4 linked regions of the Arabidopsis thaliana genome follow. The protein of the gene in region 3 purifies or fractionates together with the protein of the main gene of each other region. This does not show direct contact. Each region holds a gene or a part of one and is shown on either strand. Other genes may lie near its edges.

Region 1 (4,782 bases), on a different chromosome or scaffold from region 3:
AGGTAAGGGCGGAAAGAAGACAAAAGAAAGTATTGGGGTCGTTTTGATAAACATTATTTTGTAGGGGTGGTTTAAATGTGTGAAGTGGATAAACCATGTGGGTAACTGCTAACCGCGTATATACCAAACCCTATCACTCCCCACTTGTCTTTGTACATTTTGGTTTAATGGAAAAAAAGGATAGGGCTATTTTCAAGAAATGACAAAACGATCCTTTTCTTTTGGTTATTTTCTGATTTTATCCATAACTTCTAGTTTTTAACTTTTTTCTCGTGTCAAAGGTATCAGATTTTTATTTAACCAGAAAATTATCATGTACGATATTTTTTAATTAATCCGAGTGGAGAATATTCCGAGTAATACCACAACATAATTTTGTTGTCGGCTACAGATGGAGATTAGCTTAATGAGCACTCAAGTTTATTAAACAAATCAATCAGATAGTTATCTAATTCCAGGGAGCTGTGACCTCACATGATATTTTTCTAATTTATTTTTTGCAATGGTCAAAATACTCTGCCTCTTTGCATTATTATAAACTATTTACACAAGTGAAAGACATAAATATTGGCAAAAGAAAAGAAGGATTTCTTTATTTTTGATTCAATTTAAGGAGAATCACATAGCAGAAACAGGAGAAAGATGAGATAGATACAAAGGTTCTTTGGCTAAAAATAACAACTCTGCTCCAACTTTGAAAAGACGAATAAAACAACTCTGATTGCTAATTTTCACCAAACATGTGTTCAATCTTAGCCTCTAGATAGCTGAAAAGTATTCTTTGCTGAGCTTGGGGTCAGGTTTCATTGATTTCTCCCCTGGCTTCCATCCCGCAGGGCACACTTCATCCGGGTTTTCTTGAACATACTGTAATGCCTGCAAGACAACATCACAAGAAGCAACAAATAACGCATCTAAACCCTAAACCTCAAAAACAAATCTCTCTTTATCTATCTATCTCAATGATGTGATTTTTCTCTTTATTACCTGGAGGGTTCTCATTGTCTCATCAACACTTCGGCCAATACCGAGGTTGTTGATGGTGGAATGCTGAATGACTCCTTCCTTGTCTATGATGAAAAGCCCTCTCAGTGCAATGCCCTGTACTTATATATTAGCAAAATGCTTTGATTCAAAGTGGCTATACGTTACTTGAAAGAACACAAGTGGATTGGACTCAATGCAAGTATGATGCAACTATGTCAGAAGAAATCGTTTACCTGATCAGGGATGAGCACTCCAAACGATTTTGAAATGGATTTAGTGATATCCGAAACAAGAGGATAATTCAGATCACCGAGCCCTCCCGACTTTCTGTCTGTTTGGACCCACGCAAGATGCGAGAACTACATGAACATGGAATCAAACGTTCCATTATCCAAAAGAAAACGTTCCATTCGATTATCAGACTGCCACTTGCCAAGGTTCTGAGTACATCAAATACTTGAAACCATTTTTCAAAATGCTGAGACCAGAATGTTCTTTCTTGGTTCAGGTGGAGAAATAAAAATTTGACTTACCACACTGTCGACAGAGACCCCTAATACTTCGGTGTTTAGCTTCTCAAATTCTTCATAACGGTCACTGAAGGCAGTAATCTCTAGAATAAGCAAAGAAAAATTGGAAATTTCAGTGACTATGAGGGCGAGAGTTTCAGTTTTGAAGCTATTTCCTTAGCAGAATACTAACCAGTGGGGCAGACAAAAGTGAAGTCCAAAGGGTAGAAGAATAGAATAACATACTTTTTGCCAATGTACTCAGAGAGCTTCACCTGAAACCATGATTCATAGGTCGATTACTATCAGAACATTGCTCTACTGCATTGACCTTAGCTTATGACACTTAACTAACTAACATGTTAAATAAGGTTTGAATGGAATGAAAGTACCTTTATGAACTCTTGATCAAAAACTGCCTCAGCTTCAAAATCAGGCGCCTTATTACCGACCAGTGGTAAATCATCCTGCATTCATAAAACATATAAACACTAGTCAGTCATCGATCATCGAATTGTTTAACCACACAAAATGTTCTTTAACTGGTGTTCACTATCTATGCAGGGCTCAAAAGATTTCTGTGTATGAGCCAAATGTGAATCATATTAATTAATTTCAGATCATTTCCTCCCATCCCTAATTAAACCCGAAAGAAGGGTAACAAAAATGTCGCTCAATTCAAATCGCAGAACTCTAAAAAGTTTAAAGTTTAGTCTTTTATCCAATGATCTCAAAACCCTTAAGAGATAAGAAGCAGGAAAATAGTACGGATCCCATTATAACAAGCTAACGAATTCATACAACAATCATAGTGAATGAGAAGATGGAGCAAATACAAGAAATTTATGGCATTGCGAGTCAACTTACAGCCTGAGCCTTGACGGCGAAGTTCCGGCGTGAGGCGGAGCGGTTGGTGGTGAGGGAACCGAGACTGGAGAACCCGGAACAGAGAGAAGAGGATGATGCCGAGGAAGAGGGTATGATTCTGGGGAAAGAGACGGTAGGAGATAAAAGAGAAGACTTGGAGGGAAGAAGAACCCTAGAGGAAGAGAGTAGGGTGGTGGAAGAAGAAGAAGCTATAGACGCCATTGACATTGACTCTGTTCTCTCTCTCTATCTCTCTGTGATTGGTTACTTAAAAAAGAGGTCTTGTGGTTTGGTTTGAGGATGAGGTGGATAAACGTGAGGGCGTGAGAGAGACGAATCGGATAGAGAAACCAAATAGCTGCTCTTCTAGATTTTTCAGACAAGAAGAAAGAAGTGGAATGTTCGATGAACCGGAACGACACCGTGTTGATGATCATACTTTGATAATTAAATCAAAATCTATTTTTAGGCTGGTTGGATTTCCGAATATATTTCCATCTAATCTTCACATCAAAAATAGTAATCAATCCTTAAATTTTGTAATTTGCCTACTATCTTCCATTCCAATCATAATAATTAAGAAAATACAAATAAAGTAAACGTATCTCTTTACTAATTAATACAACACAAGATAGTGACAAATGTACATATCATAGAGATCAATAATTGGACCTCCTTCCTTACTTTAAACACTCGCAAAACCCAATCAGCCACAAACTCACAAACAAACCAAACAAAAAAAAAGAAGAAGAAAGACTATGGAGATTCCGCCGTCACAATCTCCGGCGACTCAACTCCGCCGTACAAAATCCATATCCAACATGACGACTCTAACTCCTCCAGAAGTTCCTTTCGACATAGCTTCAACGCCGCCGTCTTCGTTCGATTACGAGCTCATCTCCGTAAAACCATCCTCTTTCGTAGCTTACACTTCTCTCAGAGATATCATCTCTTCTCCGATTAACTCTTCACTCAATTTACCGTCGATCAACGGTAGCTGCTCTCCTGTTATATCCACCGCCGCCGGAGATATCTCGATTCGTAACCGTCTCGTTAAGCAAGCTGCTTTGTCTTATCTTCAACCAACGGTGCTTACTTCGTCAGATGATTCTGCTGGTTCTCAATTCTTCCGCCGCGTTTGGCTTCACTTATCCGCCGGGTTTCAGTTCTTGCGACGTGTGTTTGATTGGATTTTTCAATCGTTTCGTGTTCCTTTGATTGTCAAATAAACTTTGATTTGGTGAGAAAATTGGATTTTTCATGAATTGAATTGTATACAATAAAGTGTTACAATATTCAAAACATATCAAAGGAAAAATCTTTTTTTTTTTGTTCGTCTGTGGTCAATTTGAAGTCATGTGAAACTCCGGTTAACCGGCGGTTTAAAAACCCGGTTATTGAGATTGTGGCTTAGAGTAGTATAGCAGGCACCTTCTAACGGAGAAACATTAAAGAAGTTCTTGTTTGTTGTTGATCTTTTGACTTTGATTGGTTTTTATTCTGTAGACAAAGGAAGTGATGGATTTGGTGAGAGTGCTCTGATGCAGTAAAGCTTGAGGATGTATATGTTTGTTTTGAATACCTTATAGATGGTGAATTGTTGTTGCAATTGCTTGAAGATTTGGAGGCTCCAGTGGAAGATACATTGCAGTAGTTGAGCAATTACTAAATGTCCTCTTATCTTTAAGACAGAGATTCCTTGATCGATGTCAGATTCATGTTTTGACATGTATGGACATAGTAGCTTCTCGTAGACATAGCTAAGTCCCTGTTAGAAACCAAGAGAAGAAGATTGGTCGTTTTGTGAATCTAAGAATGAGAATGAATTCTCATTAGATTTTTATTGCATTGTACTGTAGTTAGTACCTGTGATTTCGGGTAACATAAGTAGATGAGAAGAGCGATTTTGATCTCTCCGTAGAGTGGTAACCTGCGGATAGATGAGATGAATCAGAAGGTTTCATACAATAAAGAAGCATATGATGGAGATTTGAAGTTTGACATATAAGTACTAACCATGATACAATGATGTCTCCTATCCTTTCGAAAACAGTAAGAAGAGCCACCAAGATCCTACAAATCAAATTCGGATTTTTGATAAGATGGTTATGAGAATAAGATACCCTTATCCAAAAAAGGAATCTTCTTTATTAACAATTAGTAAGCTTTACCAATATTGGCACCAGTATCTAAGTTCGTGAATCTCAAGCTTTTTCTTTTCCACGCTTTTGTAGCATCCATATGCAGGGTACGCGTAACCCACAAGCAATCTGCAAATTTTCCAGAAAATCTAAGAGAAAGAAGAACGAAAATGCCTAAATATAAAACCAGATGAAGGAAAGACGAGAGAGAAAGAGGGTCTAACATTATGATTCTTGTGATGAAATCTCCGAGCATCTTTGCATCAACTAACAGACTT
Region 2 (8,146 bases), on a different chromosome or scaffold from region 3:
CAAGTTACCGTGACATCTGTAAAGGGAGTAGCATCTCCTTCTTTTCCCATGTGAGCTGCCACTTTTCCCATGATGCACTCAATTAGCTGTCCAATTGTCATTCGAGACGGAATAGCATGTGGATTCACAATAATGTCCGGAGTGACCCCTTCAATCGTCCATGGCATATCCTCCTGCGTGTAGGTCATGCCAACAGTTCCCTTCTGACCGTGTCTACTACTAAATTTGTCTCCAATTTGAGGAATCCGCACGGATCTGACCCTCACTTTCACAAACCTCAAACCATCTGCATTTGTAGTCAATAACACCTACACGAAGTTACAAGAATTGATCAGTTTCATATTTCAATCCTGAAACTTTCTAAACCCTTAACTGCAAGGAAAAGCCAAAGTTACCTGATCCACCATTCCAGTTTCACTATGTCGCAAGCTTATACTATGATCACGTCTAGTGTATCGGGATGATTGTCCTTGAGCCTCATCTTGAGATATTGGAGTGGTTTTCCCAATGATAACATCTTCACCTGAAACTCTAGTACCCTATACCAAAAATAAAAGATTGTATGATATGCTTTCTAACATTAGTCACCTAATCATATCAGATAATAAATAATTAAGGAACAATAAATTATAAACTTACAGGAGGCGCAAGACCATCATCATCCAGTTTATCATAAGAACCATGTCGCATACCCTGCAGCAGAAACCCAAGTGTTAAACTTCACTTACAAAAAGCACCACTGAAGTATGAACCATGTGTCAATTACTTTCTTACCATTGTACTTCCTCTGTCTGGGCGCCCAAAGTCTTCTTTGACAAGCGTCCCCATTTTTTTCTCCTCATCTCTGTCAGCAAACGTGATTGCAGTATAAATAAATGGAAAGACCGAAGGCAAACGTCCAAAAGTATAGCATACTCACCTGTAAGACCGAAAGAACAAGGATCGAAAGAAACCACGATCTATTGAAGACTGATTCATGATGACAGAATCTTCTTGATTATATCCAGAATAGCAAGAAATGGCAACAATAGCATTCTGCACAAGAAGAAGAAAAAAAAACATTTGAGAGATTTGATACACGAGCAATGCTGAATTCTGAAAAACTTCTAGCAAAAATAACTTACAATTCCTGCTGGAAGTTGTCTAAAGTGAAGATGCTCCATAGCTCTTGTAGTAACCAAAGGCTTTTGTGGATAATAGAGAACATAAGCTAACGTATCCTGGTTGACAGAACAATAATAATTTCTTTAAAATATTGAGTGATGTAACAAGAGCTGACAAGAAAGACCACAAATTAAGAGCCTAGAACATACCATGCGAAATTGGTAGTTGGTGACATAAATTCCCATTGCTTGCTTCCCCATGGCAGATTGATATGTATTACGAGGTGACTAATACATCAAAAAGTAAAGGGTTAGTTAGCATGAAACTGAATTTACATAATGAAATCGCTTCTGATAGAAAAGTCATTTAGACAGAGGTACCTGATTATGGTCAGGAAATGGTATGATTGAAGCACAGACCCCCAATATCAGAGATGGGTGAATCTCACAATGTGTGTAGTTTTCAGTATAAGCCTCTTCTGGGCGGAGTCTAGCTTGAACCAGATCCTACAACAAACATAAGAGTAAGATTTCTGCAGAAATTAGTGCACCACAAACTCATTTAATCACATCTTCATTTCATTACTCACACTGATAGTCATGGAAATCATGGTCGTTTCCTCTTCTTCTGTGTCTATGTATTCTATAAAGCCCTTAGCAACCAGATGATGCCAACCATCTTCTTCTGCACTTTCCTGGGTTATGAAAACAAATATTGGTACAATGGAATTTATAACAAAAGATACTTTGATAACAGGTAAAAATTAGAATTTTACCCTTTGTTGCAGAGCATAGATATCTCTCTTCTTTATTAAGAGCTTCTGATTATCTACAATAAACAACGGACGGCTACAACGTCCATAATCAGTGTATATCCGGAGCTCTTTAAGACGGATATCTCTAACTACACCAACTTCAGTGTTGACATCAACCTGCAAGAGGAAAAAGTAATATGTCACTTCTGCATAAAGTTGCAATATTTTCACTAGCATATATGGAAACGTGAAAGAAACTGCATGCTTACCCTTCGTCTCAAACGTCTCAACGTTTTCACCAACATGTCAGGATCTCTATGAACTCCAACCCACATTCCATTGACAAAGATTTTTGTGGCTTGGGGTATAACAGATGGAGATATTTCCTATATTCAAGTTAAGACCTTCAGGAAACCACAAGAACCAAGGAGGCAGATGTTGGGTAAGAAATTGAATGTGAAATGCTACAGACCTCAAAATTCTCAGTACCCCATTCTTCCAAAAATTCCAATATAGGATAAGCAGCTGACCCAACTGTTATGTAGACCATGAGAGCCAAGTTTTTCACTAGACCACAAGCCTGGTACAGCAAAGCCACAATGAGCAATGGAACTATAAAATCCGAAACACCCTTATTTTATAAATATAACAATTTTACCTGTCCTTCAGGTGTTTCAGCAGGGCACATCATTCCCCACTGTGAGTTGTGCAGTTGTCTTGGTTTTGCCAATTTTCCTGGCATATCAGACTTGATTAGATTCAAGTGGGATAAACAAAAGTACAAGCCAATCTAAATTGCAAGGATGTGGATAATAAAGAGAACCATGACTAAAATACACCAACTGTACGAACAGTTACACAGAGACAAAATAGAAGTGCAGGAAAAGAACGAGGCTTTACCTTCACGTCCTATTGGAGAATTGAGACGCCTCAGATGTGACAAAGTCGAAGCATATGTCAACCGGTTAAGAACCTGTTGTTAGTTAAGTCTTTAGAGCCATATAAATCATGCAATGAATTATAATAGGCCAAAACAGTAAACCCGATAACATACATCAAGAAATTATTGGAACTCAAAAACATAATTAACATAGAATTATCCTAACCTGAGAGACTCCAGCTCTTGTGCCAGCAGCGTTTGCCTGGCCCCAGTTCCCAGTAGCAAGAGAATATTTCAGGCCAGAGGTAATTGTTTTAGCCTTAATGGCAAATTGAAGATTGACTTCTTTGCCATTGTCAACGCACTGTCAAAGAAACATGAATCAGACTTCCAAACACAGAATAACAACTTAATACTAAAGTCTTTGGCTCGAGAAAGAGTAACTATGTAAGATACCTTTTGAACATAAGATCTCACATCCCTTGTTAACTTTCGGAAAAGCTGCATGTAGAGAAGATGTTAGGTCAGTAAGAGATAAAAAAAACACTGATACTCAACAATCCCCAAGAGTGTATAATTGTGTGCCGGGAACAAACCATTCTAAATAGCCCTCCAAGTAAAGGACCAGCAAGATCCAGCCTTTTGTTACCATAATGATCCCTATCATCTTCTGGCCTTCGGCCAAGTGCACAAAGCAGCAGCCGGTGTATGATATACCTACGGATCATAGCATAATATGAGCAACACAGAAACATGTTAAGTCTATAAACATTACAAGTGAGTTAAATACCTACCCAAAATAGTAAGCTTTCTTTGTCTCGCAATGCTCCCCAATTCCTACATGAGGAAGCATTTCTTTCTGAAGGATATCTCTAGCATACCTGCAATGATAATATTGCAATCGCAAACCTCCAGTGTGAACATCTCAATAGTTGACATCTTAGATCATAATGTCCAACTTAATTGGTTTAGATTATCACATACTTTATCCTTTTTTCCTTGGTTACACCAACAGTTGCACCACGTTTTCCAATATAGTCAAGTGCAACCTGAAGTAATATGAAAGTTATCAAGTGATTGCAAGATCAATTCCTCAAGCATAATAAAATGTCATTAACCAAGTGAAAAAAAAGTGGATACCAGCTGATTTTGAATAACGAAAGCTTCTTCCAAGGAAGGCCTGAGCAACTCCATCATCTGGGTATCGGCAAAATCATAGCAGATGTGTTCCAATATGTCCTTATCGGCAACAAATCCCAGTGCACGAAATACTATGATAATAGGAATTTCTGTTCTGATGTATGGAAGAGTACATCGAATATACTGTCCAGATGAACCCTGCATCCATTTGCAACATAGAATGTAATTTATTTACCATTATCTAGAATTTAAAGAATAAATTTCGAGGAAGGATATAGTAGAGTTAAGACTAATTAGCTTTCTCTTACCCCTTTTGCACTAGCACGAGCAAGCATACGCACAAACATTGTGCTTGGAGGCCTATTTTGGTTTTCAGCCATAGAACGGACTTCACCAACATAAGCATACTTATTTGGCTGCCTTTTCTTGAACACATAAACATGATTCGTACTCATCTTCTCCTGAGCAATCAGAACCTTTTCACTGCCATTAATAATGAAGTATCCACCCTGATCATAAGGACATTCTCCAAGCTCTGTCAGGTCTTTCTCCGAGTTCTGAAACAAGGTACAGTAACTAGACCGGAGCATGATGGGAACCTAGCAAATAATCAAACAAGAAGAAAACATTTCTACTATCAGAACAGTAGAGTACATGGAAACACCTAAATAAATGTGACACAATGAACTGAGTTCGGACACCTTTCCAATGAAAACTTTAGTAAAATCCTGTGTCTCCGTAACTTCTTCACCATCATGCCCTTTCTTAATAACTCTCTTAGTAACATCGACATACAAAGGCGCAGAGTATGTGAGATTTCTCAACCTTGCAGCCTTAGGGAACAGGGTGGCAGTCTCTCCATCAGACTCTGTCATCATAGGTTTACTCAGATAAATCTGTCCAAAGCTAATCTTGTAGATTGTCTGCAGGAAAACAGCTATATCAGACATACAGAAAAACAGATAGCAAAACAGCTATATCTCAGCTCACACAAAGTCAAAAATGATTTGAGCTTCAACCGATAATAAAGACCACTGAAAGGACACTTTGAAAAAAGCGAAGAGCTCAAGCATTAAATGGAAAGATAATCTCGGAAAATCAATGAGCTTAGCTACTCGACAAAGGCAGACCCTAATTGCAACAAAACTTAAAAACTGATTTAAGCTTTAACCAATATTCAAAACCACTGAAAATACACCTCAAAAAAGCGAAGAGCTCAAGCATCGAATACAAAGATAATCATGGGAAATCATTGAGATAAGCTTCTCAGATAAGGGCTAACAATAGACTGTCTGCAGGAAAACAGACCAAAGGGACAGCAAAAAAAGATACCAAACTCATTTTTATAGTGCCAAAACTGATTTGAGTTTCAACCAATACTATAAATCCTCCTCGAAAGAGATGAGCTCAAGCATTAACTCAAAGATAATCTCGGGACATTAATAAGATTACCAGCTCAAAGTCAATATCCGGACATCAATAGTCAAAATCATTTTTTGACTCTTGAACAGCATATAGCTCAAGCATTGAATAACAAGACAATCTCGGGACATCAATAAGATTCAGGTAAACCCTAATCGCACCCAAACGGTAGAAGCTCAAATCGAAACACTTTAAAACCGCCACAAACACGATAAACCCGCACATAATTTCGAATTCCCATAGAAACCCTAGAAAAAAACAAAAACGAGGAAACAACCTCCGCAAAATCGGACTGATGGCCAGGATTATGCTGAGATTCAGGTCGGATCTCGATATCAGCAGACTCATCAACGATTTCTTGCATAGTATTTTGAATAAACTCATCAAACGAATCCAGCTGTTGACGAACGAGACCTTTCTCTTCGAAATAAGCAGATATAACAGCCCACGCGTCCTCCTGGGTAATCTCCTCATCGTCATCGTCTTCTACATATTGAGGTTCAGGTTCGTATTCGTTGTACTCCATTTATTCTCACTCTCTGAAGATTAGAGCACAGCAAACTTCACTACTCGAGCTCTCGGAGACAAAGAGAGAGACAGGACGCAGAGAATGAGACGGCTTTGTGAGATTGTGAGTTTATAAAGGCTCGAGAGAGAGAAGTCGGCTTAAGTTTATGGAAATAACCGGTTTGTATCAATAACCGGTTTGATTAAATGGGATTATAAAAAGGATCGGTTTGGTTGTTAGAGAGCTTGGATTGTTAAATGACGGAAACACCCTTACTATATAAAGAAAAGTCTCCGGCTACATTTTTGTGGCGTCAGCGATATTTTCGGAAGAAGAGAGAGAGAGACGGAGAGTGAAGGCGGAGGAAGGGAGAGAGAGATGATACCGCAGCAATGGACGCCGCCGTGTGGGAGCAAATGCACGAATAAGTACTCAGCATTTACGCAGCTTCCATGTATGTAATATCTGGACTCTTAATTTGTGTGAATCGGATTCGTTTTTGAGTTTTGATGTTCGTGGTCCGTTGTTTTTTGATGGTTTAGTTTTCGATGATGATGATAAGAATCTGTTGTTGGAGCTGATAGATTGGGTTCTGATTTGGATTGGTGATTGATTTCTTGATTCAAAAGTCAATTTAGTCTTCCGAGTGTTTCTTCTTTTTGTTGTTGTTTGGAATTGAAATTGGGATCTGTAAATTGGATTGTTGATTGATTTCTTGATTCATAAACCCTAATTATTTGTTGGTGCACTCTACTTCATTACGATTATACTAAACATTTTGGTCAAGAATCGCTTCTTTGGTTAGATTGGTCCAGAGACAACTTATAGTTGTAGTTGCAAGTATTTAAGAACATCCATCTTGACTCGTAATTGAATAATGTAGATTGAAGAATCGGCAACATTTATATTGATTACAAGTAAGGGAGATTATGCAGAGTTCTTAGAGCTTTTCTATCATGTAATTAAGAAAATGGTTAAATTAGTAGGAGAAAGTGGAAGATAATAAGTTGTAGTTTATGAACTGAAAGAAATTTAAAGGGAGAGAGTCAAAGTAACGGTATCAAAGATGCTTCTGTATCCATGTTGCTTCTATGAACTATTGACATATATGTATGCTTAAGCTAGTTAAAGGGCTTGGTTTGGCTGTTTCTGTCTTTCTGATGAAAGCTTTTCATTCTCTGATCTCTGAATTTCATTCATGGGCACAAAAGCTAGCTGAACTTATGCTTGGTATGACATTTTTTCCATAGCAATCTGGGTTTTTTTTCAGCTTTAGCATCAGTGTTTATCCTCCATGTTGTTGTATGACATTTTTTCCATAGCACTAATGTAATTCCTGAATCTGTGTAGGGAGAGTATTCTGCAAAAAGGGATGTGATGCCGATAGTGACTCATGGGAAGATTGTAAGCATTTCTTTTTAATTCTTTGTAATCTGTAACGAAACTGTTGATGAAATGATGAGCGGTTAGATTTGTCCTCACTATGGAACATCATAAAAACCAAGCTTGTCTCCTACATAACGAAATTACATGTTCATGAAGAGTATCTTCTGCTTTTCAGGTTTAAGTTTCCAAGTTAATGAATTGGTGTAATAGTAGTGTACTCTCTATAGGTGTAGGAGACTGCAGTGAAATTTGCTACAAAGATCCTGTGCTAAAAGACAGACCATGGACTGCTGTTATAGATCGTTCTCCTGGAGATGCCAAATACTCTGAGGTAATTCACACAATGAATCTTTTTCTTCAAAAAAGAGAAATGGACTGAACCGTATCTAATTGTTGTACATGTAACTCTGTTTTTAAATTCAGGAATGCTTTCACGCATGTGTAGCAGGCTGTGGTTACAAGGTTTGTTTCCTTGCTTCAACCTCAATAATTTGATGCGTTTGGAAATACACTCTACTTCTCTGAACCCGTGTGGCTGTATTTTTTTGTCATCATGCAGTTTGATGTTGAAGCTGAGATAGTCAATAAGGTGAAACCAAAGAGACCTCCACCACCACCGCCAAAGCCACAACCACCACCACCACCACCACGTTCTCAAAAACCAATGCAGCCTCCTACTGAGGATGTTCTTGCAACTTCCGCTTGACGTATCTCAACCCCCATCAAAGGCTAACACTTGGAACTCCTCAATTTTTTGGTATCTAAACATATGAGGGAGTATTACTTTTCAGAGTAGCCAACTCAAAGGATTGGTCCATAAACTTTTTTTTTTCTTTTTCTTTTGATAGTTTTTGCAATAGAGATTGGAGAGTAGATATTAGTGGGACTCGTCCCGTGATGAAAGTTAGAGCATCCAAAAAGCTCAAGTTCCTAAATTCCATTGAATTTTTTG
Region 3 (4,565 bases):
CACAACCAACAGCCATTATTACGATCAACAGAAATGTCATAAGTTTTGAAGAGACTAAAGGTGACACATTTGCGTATGCAATGAACTCCACCCTCTAATTTATATACCAAGACTGAGAAACTGAGGAAAGGGAAAAAAACAGAATAACAAAAATGCCCTTACATCGATACCACCAAAGCGTCCAACCGTTAATTCGGCAGTTCTGTCAATACCATGAGATAAATCGTCATAAACGCTGACTGCCTGTCTGATATTCTGATATAGACCCAAAAGGTTCAATGCAAATTTCCTCTCTGCTTCCTGCCCAGAGAAACAAAAGTCATGTGCCTTCTTCATATGAAAATCACAATATCTACAGGTAATACAGCAACCTCTCCCACATAAAATCATACAATTTTTCATGGAATTAAGAATATTACCTTTTCCAAATTGAACTCCACATTAGCACCCCCAGCCAGAGGGATACTCAACAATCCAGACGATGGTTCAGCTCCAGCAACATATGATCCACCCAACCAAGATGCCTAAGTATATTATAACCACACCATTAACTTGTGGTCACATTATATTAAAAAGGAAAAAAAAATAGTGTTTGCACTTAGAATGACAGGTGCTGTTAACTAACAAAATCATTAATGTCCTTGTCAGTCACATCAGAGGAGGGTTCATTGACAGACACAACAACCACTTCATTGTCTGCAGAATTTTGAAAAGATTAGCAGAATATCCAAAGTAAGACTTAAACCCATAAAGAAAAAAAAGTTAGAAACTAGTCATGCTCAGATGGTTCTGGTATTCAAGCTGATAGGGCACCTGGAAGTTCAGTATCAGCTTTGTACGAATCAGACTTAATACTGCTCCTTATGGCATTGCCCAAGAAAGAATGACTAGGGGAGGTTTCCAAAAGCATATCTGCAAGTAAAAAACAAACACTTGAATATTTTACAACTAAAATTTTTGGTTCATGTCAGAAAACTAAAGCTTTCCAATCACATACCATCAGCTCCAGCGATTTCTAGCACAAAAGCAGCGCGAGGCCTCTCAAATGGATTAGGTTTTAGAATCTTGTTCAACTATAACAAAATGCAAAACAAATAAACGATGAAGTACAGGACTTTAACCCAGAGAGAGAAAAACAACTCTACTATAATACTAAAATAACCTTGGATGAGCCATCAGCTGTCAAAGTTGCTGAAGGTGCAAAACCCAACAAGGCAGACACTGCTGCAGATATTTCAACAGGCGACATGGGAAGTGCCTGTGCATTTCAATTCAAAGAAAAGAGATTTAACTAAAATTCATCAAAAAGAACTATTAAATCACAAACTTTAGTACTTGTCAAACATAAATTTGCAATCTGTCCATTGATCTCTCATCAATATCAAAATAACAAAAAAAAACAGACAAGAAAACTACAAATTGGTGCCACTTAGACCAAACAATAGATCTTATTTTACTACTTCAATGGACCAAACTCGTATAATTTCCAGAAACGATCTTAGATTGAAATATAAAATGATCAAATTTGAGATTATTTCAAATCGGTCATCCACACATTTGGGACGAAAATCATTACCTCACTGGATGATCGTGGACGAAGATATTGATTGTTGGATCCATCAATGAAGAAAACAGAACCACTTGCTTCTCCCTATACACAAACAAAAGTCAGATCCATGTCATTACATACAAGCAATTCCGTAAACGAGAGCAAGACACGAAGGAACAAAAACGAACCCTATAATTCAAGGTGAGAAGAAGAGCAACAACGAATACGTAGAAAGCTTTCATCTTTAAGAACGAGAGTCGACGGAGAGAGAAAGAAAGAGATGGATCGGTGTTATCAGACGAGAGATGTTTAATGGAGGAGACGAATCCAGATTTCAGAATCAATCAAAGTGTTAGACACAACTCCAAAACGGTGTCGTTTGAAATTAATATTATCTGTTCAAAACCCGGTTATTTCAATTCCGGTTTAGTAAAAAGCCATATTAAACGACAGTTGCCGACAAAAAAAAAAAAAAAAACGACAGTTAGTACAAATAGGGGTATAATAGACAAATCACAAAACTGGTTCGTTTTTAAAGAAGCGGTCCCGAATCACACCATTTCCATTTCCATTTCCAGAAGCGGCAACGATGGAGACAACAATCGGAGATTCTATGACGATGATGATGACGGAGATGTGACCGGTATGAGCTCAAGTAGACGAAATCTCCAAACGATTCAGAGCTTCAAAGCTTCAGATCTGTTTCCTTGGATCGGTTAAAAAGAGTTTTAAGGTTGATTTTTCTTTCCACACCATTTGGCGACTCGTACATCGAACTCGCTGATCGGAAAATACTCCCGGATAGAAATTGAACCGATTAGTTTGATGAGTGAGTGACTTGTTACTTCGATTTGTAGCTGAGTGTGTCACTGCTCAAGTGTGTGAAGAAGGAGAAAATGCCGAGGCCAGGACCAAGACCTTACGAGTGTGTGAAACGAGCTTGGCATAGCGATCGTCATCAACCTATTCGTGGTTCGATTATTCGCCAGATTTTCAGGTTTTTTTCATTCACTCATCTTTCTCAAAACCGTACGCTAGGGTTTCTTTGTATCTTAATTTGGGGTTTTCTTTGTTTGATTTCAGACTCGCAATGGAAGCACATAGCGCAGCGACGAGGAAGAACAAAGAATGGCAGGAGAAATTGCCTGTGGTTGTGTTAAAAGCTGAAGAAATCATGTACTCTAAAGCCAATTCCGAGGTTTTAAACAAATTTTCCTTCTCTTTTTTTAGTGTGTTTTCAGCTTCACAAAATGACAATTGGGTTTCGGTTTCCATTAGGAAGAGTATACAGATGCTGATACTATGTGGAATAGAGTAAATGATGCCATTGATACAATTATTAGAAGAGATGAGAGTACAGAAACTGGTCCTCTTTTGCCTCCATGTGTTGAAGGTAATTGTCATTTTTGTTTCTCTCTTTAGCTCTAGTGATCCTTATTGAAACTACTTAGAAGTTAGTGCTTTGTACTGTTTATTGTTTGTTGATGTGGTTTTTTTTTATATGGTTAGCTGCTCTTAATTTGGGATGTATTGCTGTAAGAGCTTCAAGAAGCCAACGACATAGTAGCGGAAGGACTTACCTCGGTCCTAAAATTCAGGAACCGGTTTCTGCGTCGACTAATGAGCCGTCTTACCATCATGAATATCGTCAGCAAGCTCAACAATCATCAACCAAACCAAGCCAGACAGTTCAAGCTGCAGTCCCTGTTGATGTACTTGATAACAGCAACAAGCGTGTAGCTACTCCTCGCGGTTACCCGTTTCTTCATGAATCCATGCAGATGCATCAAAAGCCATTGGCAATTAGACAAGGAACTGGTCCTGCTTCTGCTCCTGCTCCAGCTCCAGTCAACTTGGGTTCGGTCTATCCTTTGTATTACGAAGGTAATAATCAAACGCAGCAAGCTGACATGTCTTTTAGAGTCCCTGAAGCGCCCATAATCATTGGCATGCCTATTGGTATAAAGCCCTCAGAAGAAGCAACTGAGAGGGTCTGTGATTTATCCTTGAGGCTCGGTATATCTTCAGAACCGTCTACAAGAATAGATGTCGGGTCTAGTCGGGCTTACCCGGGAAGAAACCAAGAAGAGTTATGTTTATTCGCAGAGGTAAAGAAGAATGATAGGTTTGAATGGTTTTCAAATAGTGAAGGTCAGAATTCAGATTCGAGAGTTAAAAAGCACAGAACTTTGTGTGGAGACTTCCTTTAGGACTTGCTTAGTTGTTGTAAAAGCTTCAGGTTTATTGGTTTACTATTTTATTGACTCTACTAGTCTTAGCGTTCGCTTCAAGTTTTATAATAAAGATCCATGGATTGATCTTAAGTATGGTAAGCTAAATTCTGGATCCAAGAATTAGTTAATCCATTTATATATGTTTGTTTAAATGTGAAATTAATAGAAAGAATTAGGTTAGTTACAAGTGCTAACATATTCAGGGTAAATTGGAGAGAAAACAGAGTTTATATAATCATAACCATAGGTTGAATAAATGTAATTGAGCTTTAATACTGAAGAAGCTACTCACTGATCAAATACCATCATTTTGAACTGTCTTTTTTTAAGTTGTTTTCTAAGTTTTTTCGTACATTGTCAGTGACCACTTTTGGTGTAGATAATCGTGGGTATCACTTTTACGATATTTGTGCAAAGAAAAAAAGGAAAGATGATAGATTGTTCCTAACGTCGGAGATGGATTCTCGACTAAATTACAACAAAGAACGTACACTATTGTCATTGCAGCGTGAACGTACATTGCATGCGAGAGACCAACTTTGTTTATAATCAAAACAAACGAAAATGAGACTTTTTTTTCATAAAAAAACAAAGGTGTGTCGTTGAAAGTTGATATTGATCTATTTCACCAAATTAATTAGCATTTTTGAGGGTTCATTGTAGCTTCATCACTAAACAGTTTGTAAATCTTGGTTGATGTTAAACATTCAGACCAGTTCTGATACAAGAAAATTCTTTTCAAAGAAAAAAATTGCTTTATAAAAAGTAATGTACACTCGTGA
Region 4 (4,498 bases), on a different chromosome or scaffold from region 3:
CGAAGCTCGAGGACTTGATGACGTTGTAAAGGTAATGCAGAGAATTCAGAGCGGTTTTTATCTGTTTTACAAGTGAAGTCCTCTTTAATCTGTGTATTTTGCTCAGATCTTAAACGACATAACCGGAAACTTGGATGCTAAAAAAGCCTGTACTGGTGCAATGAAACTTCACAAGAAGTATCTTAAAAAGGTTTGCTTTATACTCTTATGAGTTTGTGTATGATCCTTCTTTAGCTATCTTATAACTCTCTGATTGTTCTGTTTTTGGTATTTCAGGCCAAGAAATAGCATTGCAGAAGATTCACGAGTAGTAGCGTTTTTGTATGTTTTTATACATATTTGATAACTCACAAAACCGGCGACAAAAAAGTGACTAACGATTCCTTGGGTGGCAAGAATTCTGAAGAAAAGAGCCCAATTTACACAACAACTTCTCGTTGTAAACTGTTCATACAAATCCACACATTTTGTAATATTTGTTTCACAAACCAAAACAAAAAAAAAGCACACAAAAGAATTATCATCGATGTCATTTCTAAACTCATTGTTGCACTTCTAAGTCGGATTATATATGTAAATAAGGATGGAGTATTTGAATTCCAGGTCAGACATCAGTATATATATATATATATATATGTTCATAAAAGAAATGTAAAAACTTTTTTCTTTCTATTTCACAGTTTTCCTCTGTTCTCTGAATCTAAAATCATAAAACTCTTCGTTCTTTCATCAGCAGAGAAACTATAGACATTGAATAGCTCTATCTATACATAATTTCTTCAAGGATAAGAATCAGAATTGAAGACAAGAATCCGACATCCAACACTAATCTCATCCCTCAAATTTAGACAGATTTTGTATTGCCAACGACAACGAGAAAGCTGCTTGTACTAGAGCCATAAAGAAGGAGAAGAACGAGAACATACGCATTACGAATGAACGGATACGATATTTTACACAGAAGTTCAGAAGAGAGAAACAAAGACACCAGAAAAGTTCAAGACATATTAAACACCTAAACTCCTTTTATTGCACTCCTTCAACATCCGAAGGATCAAGGGAAACTTTTCTTAACGTTAAAACCTTTTGATTTTAAGCATCTACGGTTTCAGCTGAATCTGCTGCGGCTAAGACCAGCTCCGGGCTTAGGTTTCCAACGAGAGTTCCGTCAATAGCATTCGGTAGCCCCAAAGCCTTAAGAGCAAGTTGTCCCGCCTTTTGTCCCGATATCATCATAGCACCAAAAGTTGGTCCCTACATCACCACAAACTAACTCAGGACATGATCTAACGAAAACTATGGATACCAAATCAAACATATATAGGTCAAGAATACTCACCATTCTCGGTGCACCATCGATCTCAGCAACTTCCATACCGGTAACAATCATACCAGGAACAACCTCTCTGGTCAACCTCACAATAGCGTCCTCAGCAGTGTTCATGTCCAAAGCTTTCATCCCAGGAACATGATCAATCATCCCAATACTCTTCAACCTCTTAACACCAGTAGCTCCAAAAGGACCATCATGACCACAAGAGCTAACCACAATCTTCGCTTCCATAACATTAGGGTCCATACACGATTGTGTGTGGTGGTTCTGAGCCACAAGAGCCCAGTTAGTCACCACACCACCAACTCTGTTTCCTTTCACAATCAAATCCTCAGCAGCCACAGCGTTGAAGAGCTTCACATTAGGACGAGCCAAAAGCTTGCTCATGATGGTTGATGTGAACAGAGCCGCGTGCTTAACCACAACGTAGGTGTCTTGCTCATCGTAAGCCACACCAATCTCGTCAAGGAACAAGTGAGCTGGTTTGCGAACAATCTACCATAAGCACAAGCAATCAATACTCATAATGATTCAATCTAAACCCTAATTCTCCATTAAAACAGAAACAGAACTCAAAACTTCAACAAAATCACACATGCAAATGAATCTAAATCTTACCATGGCGGAGAAAAGCTGACCACCGAGCCAAGCACCACCACCAGGACTAACAGATTGCTCAATAATGGCAACTTGAACATTAGGGTTCTTACTGATCTCATAAGCAGCAGATAAACCAGCAGATCCAGCACCAACGACGACGACATCAGTCTCAGCATAAGTGATCATATCCGTCATGTACCTTCTCGTCATCTCACGTGACACGATCGATTCCTTGATCGGGTCGAACGTGAAAGCGTTCAAGTCGTAACCAGCGGTTGTGGCGCGAACGGAGAAAGATCGTGGTTTGAGACCGATGGAGATAGGAGCTGCGGAGATGGCTGAGCCATGGAAGGAAGAATCGAAAAGTCTCTGAGGTTTGGTTGAAGAAAGAGAGAGAGTAGAAGCTATGGCAGCCATTTTTGTTTTTCTTTAGGGTTCGAGTTTAGTGATGCTGATGGTGAAGTGAAGAGTGGTTGTTGAGTATTTAAATTAGAAGAAGAAGAAAATCTGAAGATTGATGGCCACGTCAGAGATAAGGAATGAAGGGTTAGAGAATTTTTGATCTTTTTTTGTTATTTTAATTGTTTTTTGTATTATTAATATTTATCGTGATTATTTTAATTTTTAGCCATCAATGGAAAGTAACGATCTCCTTTCTTCACGGTTCTGATTGAATGAAGAAAAGACACTTCTCTTGAACAAGCCCAAATTTAGTAAAACCATCTCCAATGACTATGTCTATTTTTTTTTATTTTTTTTTTGGTCAAAAACTATCTCTATTTTTTTCCCCCATTTATGAAAGAAAAATACTTATATTATACATTGATTAAATGTATAAAATTAATGGCGAATTGATTACTGTTATAACTTCAAAGAATTGACTGAATCGGATTGCTCTATTTCTTGAAGAAAAGGGAAAAAACTTTGCAATTAATATTGTGATATGGATCAAAATAAATGTATAAAAAAATATCTCGAAGCTTTTATCTGGGAACATCTGTAGCCAGTTGCAGTGAGTGTGTGGTGACACGAACAACAAGAAGGTGAAATATCTTTGTACGATAGAGACGGCATTTGGACTTTACTAGTGACAGAGACAGTTCATTTATCATTATTTGTGTGCTTATGAATTATTATTACTAGTGAGAAGATACATCAGCCTTTTTGATCATTGAACTTTTTTGTGGTCCAAACTAAAACCTGCAATTTGGTATACTTGGAAAGTATCGACCGTATAAACTTCCGGTTGGTCCTTATATAATTTTAAAACTATGAACCATTGTAGAGAAAAATTATAACAAGTTAGAGCAGAATTATCTTAACAAACTGATATTATAAGATAAGTAAGATGTGAAACAGAGTAACACGAAAACAGGGGAAGAAGTATGGTGAACATAAGCCATTAAAATTCGAATACCAAACAGAAGAAGAACACTAGGAAGAAGACGATTTTGATGAATCAAACCCGAAATTCGCAACAAGAGATGAAAGAAAAAGATATGGTTTTATTAATAATATGATCCACTAGATAGCTTAGAAACCATGGATCTTGATGTTATCCTTCTTCACCAAACCAGCCTGTGATTACAGAGAAACAGTGAGATCAGACAATCATCTTACACAGTTTGTATGTTTTAGCAGTAAAGAGACTCGTAGAGTTATTGATATTTACCTGGACAAGGAATGTGGAGACGTTCTTACGTTGGTCACCTTGAAGCTGTATAACCTACAAATCAACACAAACCATAAACAAAACTAAAACAGAGAAGCTCAAATGTTCAGATAAGAGGCCAAATCATTCTGGTTTGTTCAAGCAGGCACTAACGACAGAAATATTATCATCCACTTTCCACTACATGGATCAATAGAGTGTTTTGATAAAACCTACCTGTCCGAGTTCTGAATCCTGAACCACAGTGCCGTTGCAGCAAAACTCTTTCTTGAGGTCCTTAAGTATCTTGGTATAGCTGTACTCTTTCTTCAGGCCCTGGACGGTTGTCAAGCTTTTCCTACCATTTCGCTGCTGGACACGGATATGAACGTATTCTTTTGTTCCGGCACCTGAGTCCTCAACATTCGCATCAGCAAACGGATCTGAAACAAGCAACAGCAAATTGAGAGAGATAAACAGATTCCCATGTAAGATAAACAGCATAATCAAACAAAAAATGATGCTTTGATTAACATGTATTTACAAATGATAACATGTTCAAGTATCTAAAACAAGTAGAAGAAGATCAGTGACTAATACAATCTCAAGTTTTGGTAGAGTAGAAACATACCAAAGGCAGTGGGAACCTGGGAGTCAAGTTCAGACATGAAACTTAGTTGATTTGAGGGTAGTACTAACCGGGAAGCTGAGATCTGCACAAGAAGGATAACCTCACGTTAGAATTCAGAAGATTCAAAACCGCAGAATATGATAGAACATGAAAACATCCAATCAAAATCGATTCAAACATGAAGATAGTTAACAACATGTTACATAACTGGTCGTCTCACCAAAAAACGTTAACCTCATTAGTTTGATATCGAACAATGAGATATAGAACAAAAGATTTTGCA

The links.
Region 1: the proteins of AT3G24150 (region 3) and 2-Cys Prx B purify together in Arabidopsis thaliana (affinity purification with mass spectrometry, with the first as the bait; one study listed by BioGRID). This does not show direct contact.
Region 2: the proteins of AT3G24150 (region 3) and NRPB2 purify together in Arabidopsis thaliana (affinity purification with mass spectrometry, with the first as the bait; one study listed by BioGRID). This does not show direct contact.
Region 4: the proteins of AT3G24150 (region 3) and THI1 purify together in Arabidopsis thaliana (affinity purification with mass spectrometry, with the first as the bait; one study listed by BioGRID). This does not show direct contact.

What each region holds. Positions count from the first base shown.
Region 1 is NC_003076.8:1,917,189-1,921,970, reverse strand, and holds 2-Cys Prx B (2-cysteine peroxiredoxin B), read right to left. Parts: upstream 2,892-4,782; 5' UTR 2,592-2,891; coding exon 2,364-2,591; intron 1,964-2,363; coding exon 1,889-1,963; intron 1,772-1,888; coding exon 1,690-1,771; intron 1,601-1,689; coding exon 1,521-1,600; intron 1,347-1,520; coding exon 1,221-1,346; intron 1,102-1,220; coding exon 988-1,101; coding exon of another isoform or gene 955-987; exon of another isoform or gene 877-954; coding exon 760-876; 3' UTR 546-759; downstream 1-545. Other genes in the region: AT5G06280 (uncharacterized protein), read left to right, coding at 3,122-3,592.
Region 2 is NC_003075.7:11,536,375-11,544,520, forward strand, and holds the start of NRPB2 (DNA-directed RNA polymerase family protein), read right to left. Parts: upstream 6,032-8,146; 5' UTR 5,827-6,031; coding exon 5,578-5,826; intron 4,802-5,577; coding exon 4,580-4,801; intron 4,478-4,579; coding exon 4,187-4,477; intron 4,077-4,186; coding exon 3,879-4,076; intron 3,788-3,878; coding exon 3,723-3,787; intron 3,620-3,722; coding exon 3,533-3,619; intron 3,456-3,532; coding exon 3,335-3,455; intron 3,240-3,334; coding exon 3,195-3,239; intron 3,103-3,194; coding exon 2,965-3,102; intron 2,832-2,964; coding exon 2,759-2,831; intron 2,594-2,758; coding exon 2,517-2,593; intron 2,439-2,516; coding exon 2,331-2,438; intron 2,245-2,330; coding exon 2,128-2,244; intron 2,036-2,127; coding exon 1,880-2,035; intron 1,799-1,879; coding exon 1,694-1,798; intron 1,611-1,693; coding exon 1,485-1,610; intron 1,392-1,484; coding exon 1,314-1,391; intron 1,221-1,313; coding exon 1,125-1,220; intron 1,036-1,124; coding exon 920-1,035; intron 845-919; and 8 more. Other genes in the region: AT4G21720 (defensin-like protein), read left to right, coding at 6,187-6,262, 7,159-7,212, 7,422-7,525, 7,618-7,656, 7,754-7,900. UniProt on the Arabidopsis thaliana protein: DNA-dependent RNA polymerase catalyzes the transcription of DNA into RNA using the four ribonucleoside triphosphates as substrates. Second largest component of RNA polymerase II which synthesizes mRNA precursors and many functional non-coding RNAs.
Region 3 is NC_003074.8:8,723,467-8,728,031, reverse strand, and holds AT3G24150 (uncharacterized protein), read left to right. Parts: upstream 1-2,045; 5' UTR 2,046-2,445; coding exon 2,446-2,546; intron 2,547-2,632; coding exon 2,633-2,747; intron 2,748-2,827; coding exon 2,828-2,942; intron 2,943-3,058; coding exon 3,059-3,759; 3' UTR 3,760-3,935; downstream 3,936-4,565. Other genes in the region: PMP (putative type 1 membrane protein), read right to left, coding at 163-300, 420-524, 626-696, 814-912, 998-1,073, 1,163-1,258, 1,577-1,651, 1,738-1,791.
Region 4 is NC_003076.8:22,244,486-22,248,983, reverse strand, and holds THI1 (thiazole biosynthetic enzyme, chloroplast (ARA6) (THI1) (THI4)), read right to left. Parts: upstream 2,466-4,498; 5' UTR 2,351-2,465; coding exon 1,952-2,350; intron 1,829-1,951; coding exon 1,340-1,828; intron 1,255-1,339; coding exon 1,093-1,254; 3' UTR 652-1,092; downstream 1-651. Other genes in the region: AT5G54780 (Ypt/Rab-GAP domain of gyp1p superfamily protein), read left to right, coding at 1-31, 107-190, 277-288; AT5G54760 (Translation initiation factor SUI1 family protein), read right to left, coding at 3,467-3,511, 3,606-3,659, 3,822-4,027, 4,216-4,252. UniProt on the Arabidopsis thaliana protein: Involved in biosynthesis of the thiamine precursor thiazole. Catalyzes the conversion of NAD and glycine to adenosine diphosphate 5-(2-hydroxyethyl)-4-methylthiazole-2-carboxylic acid (ADT), an adenylated thiazole intermediate.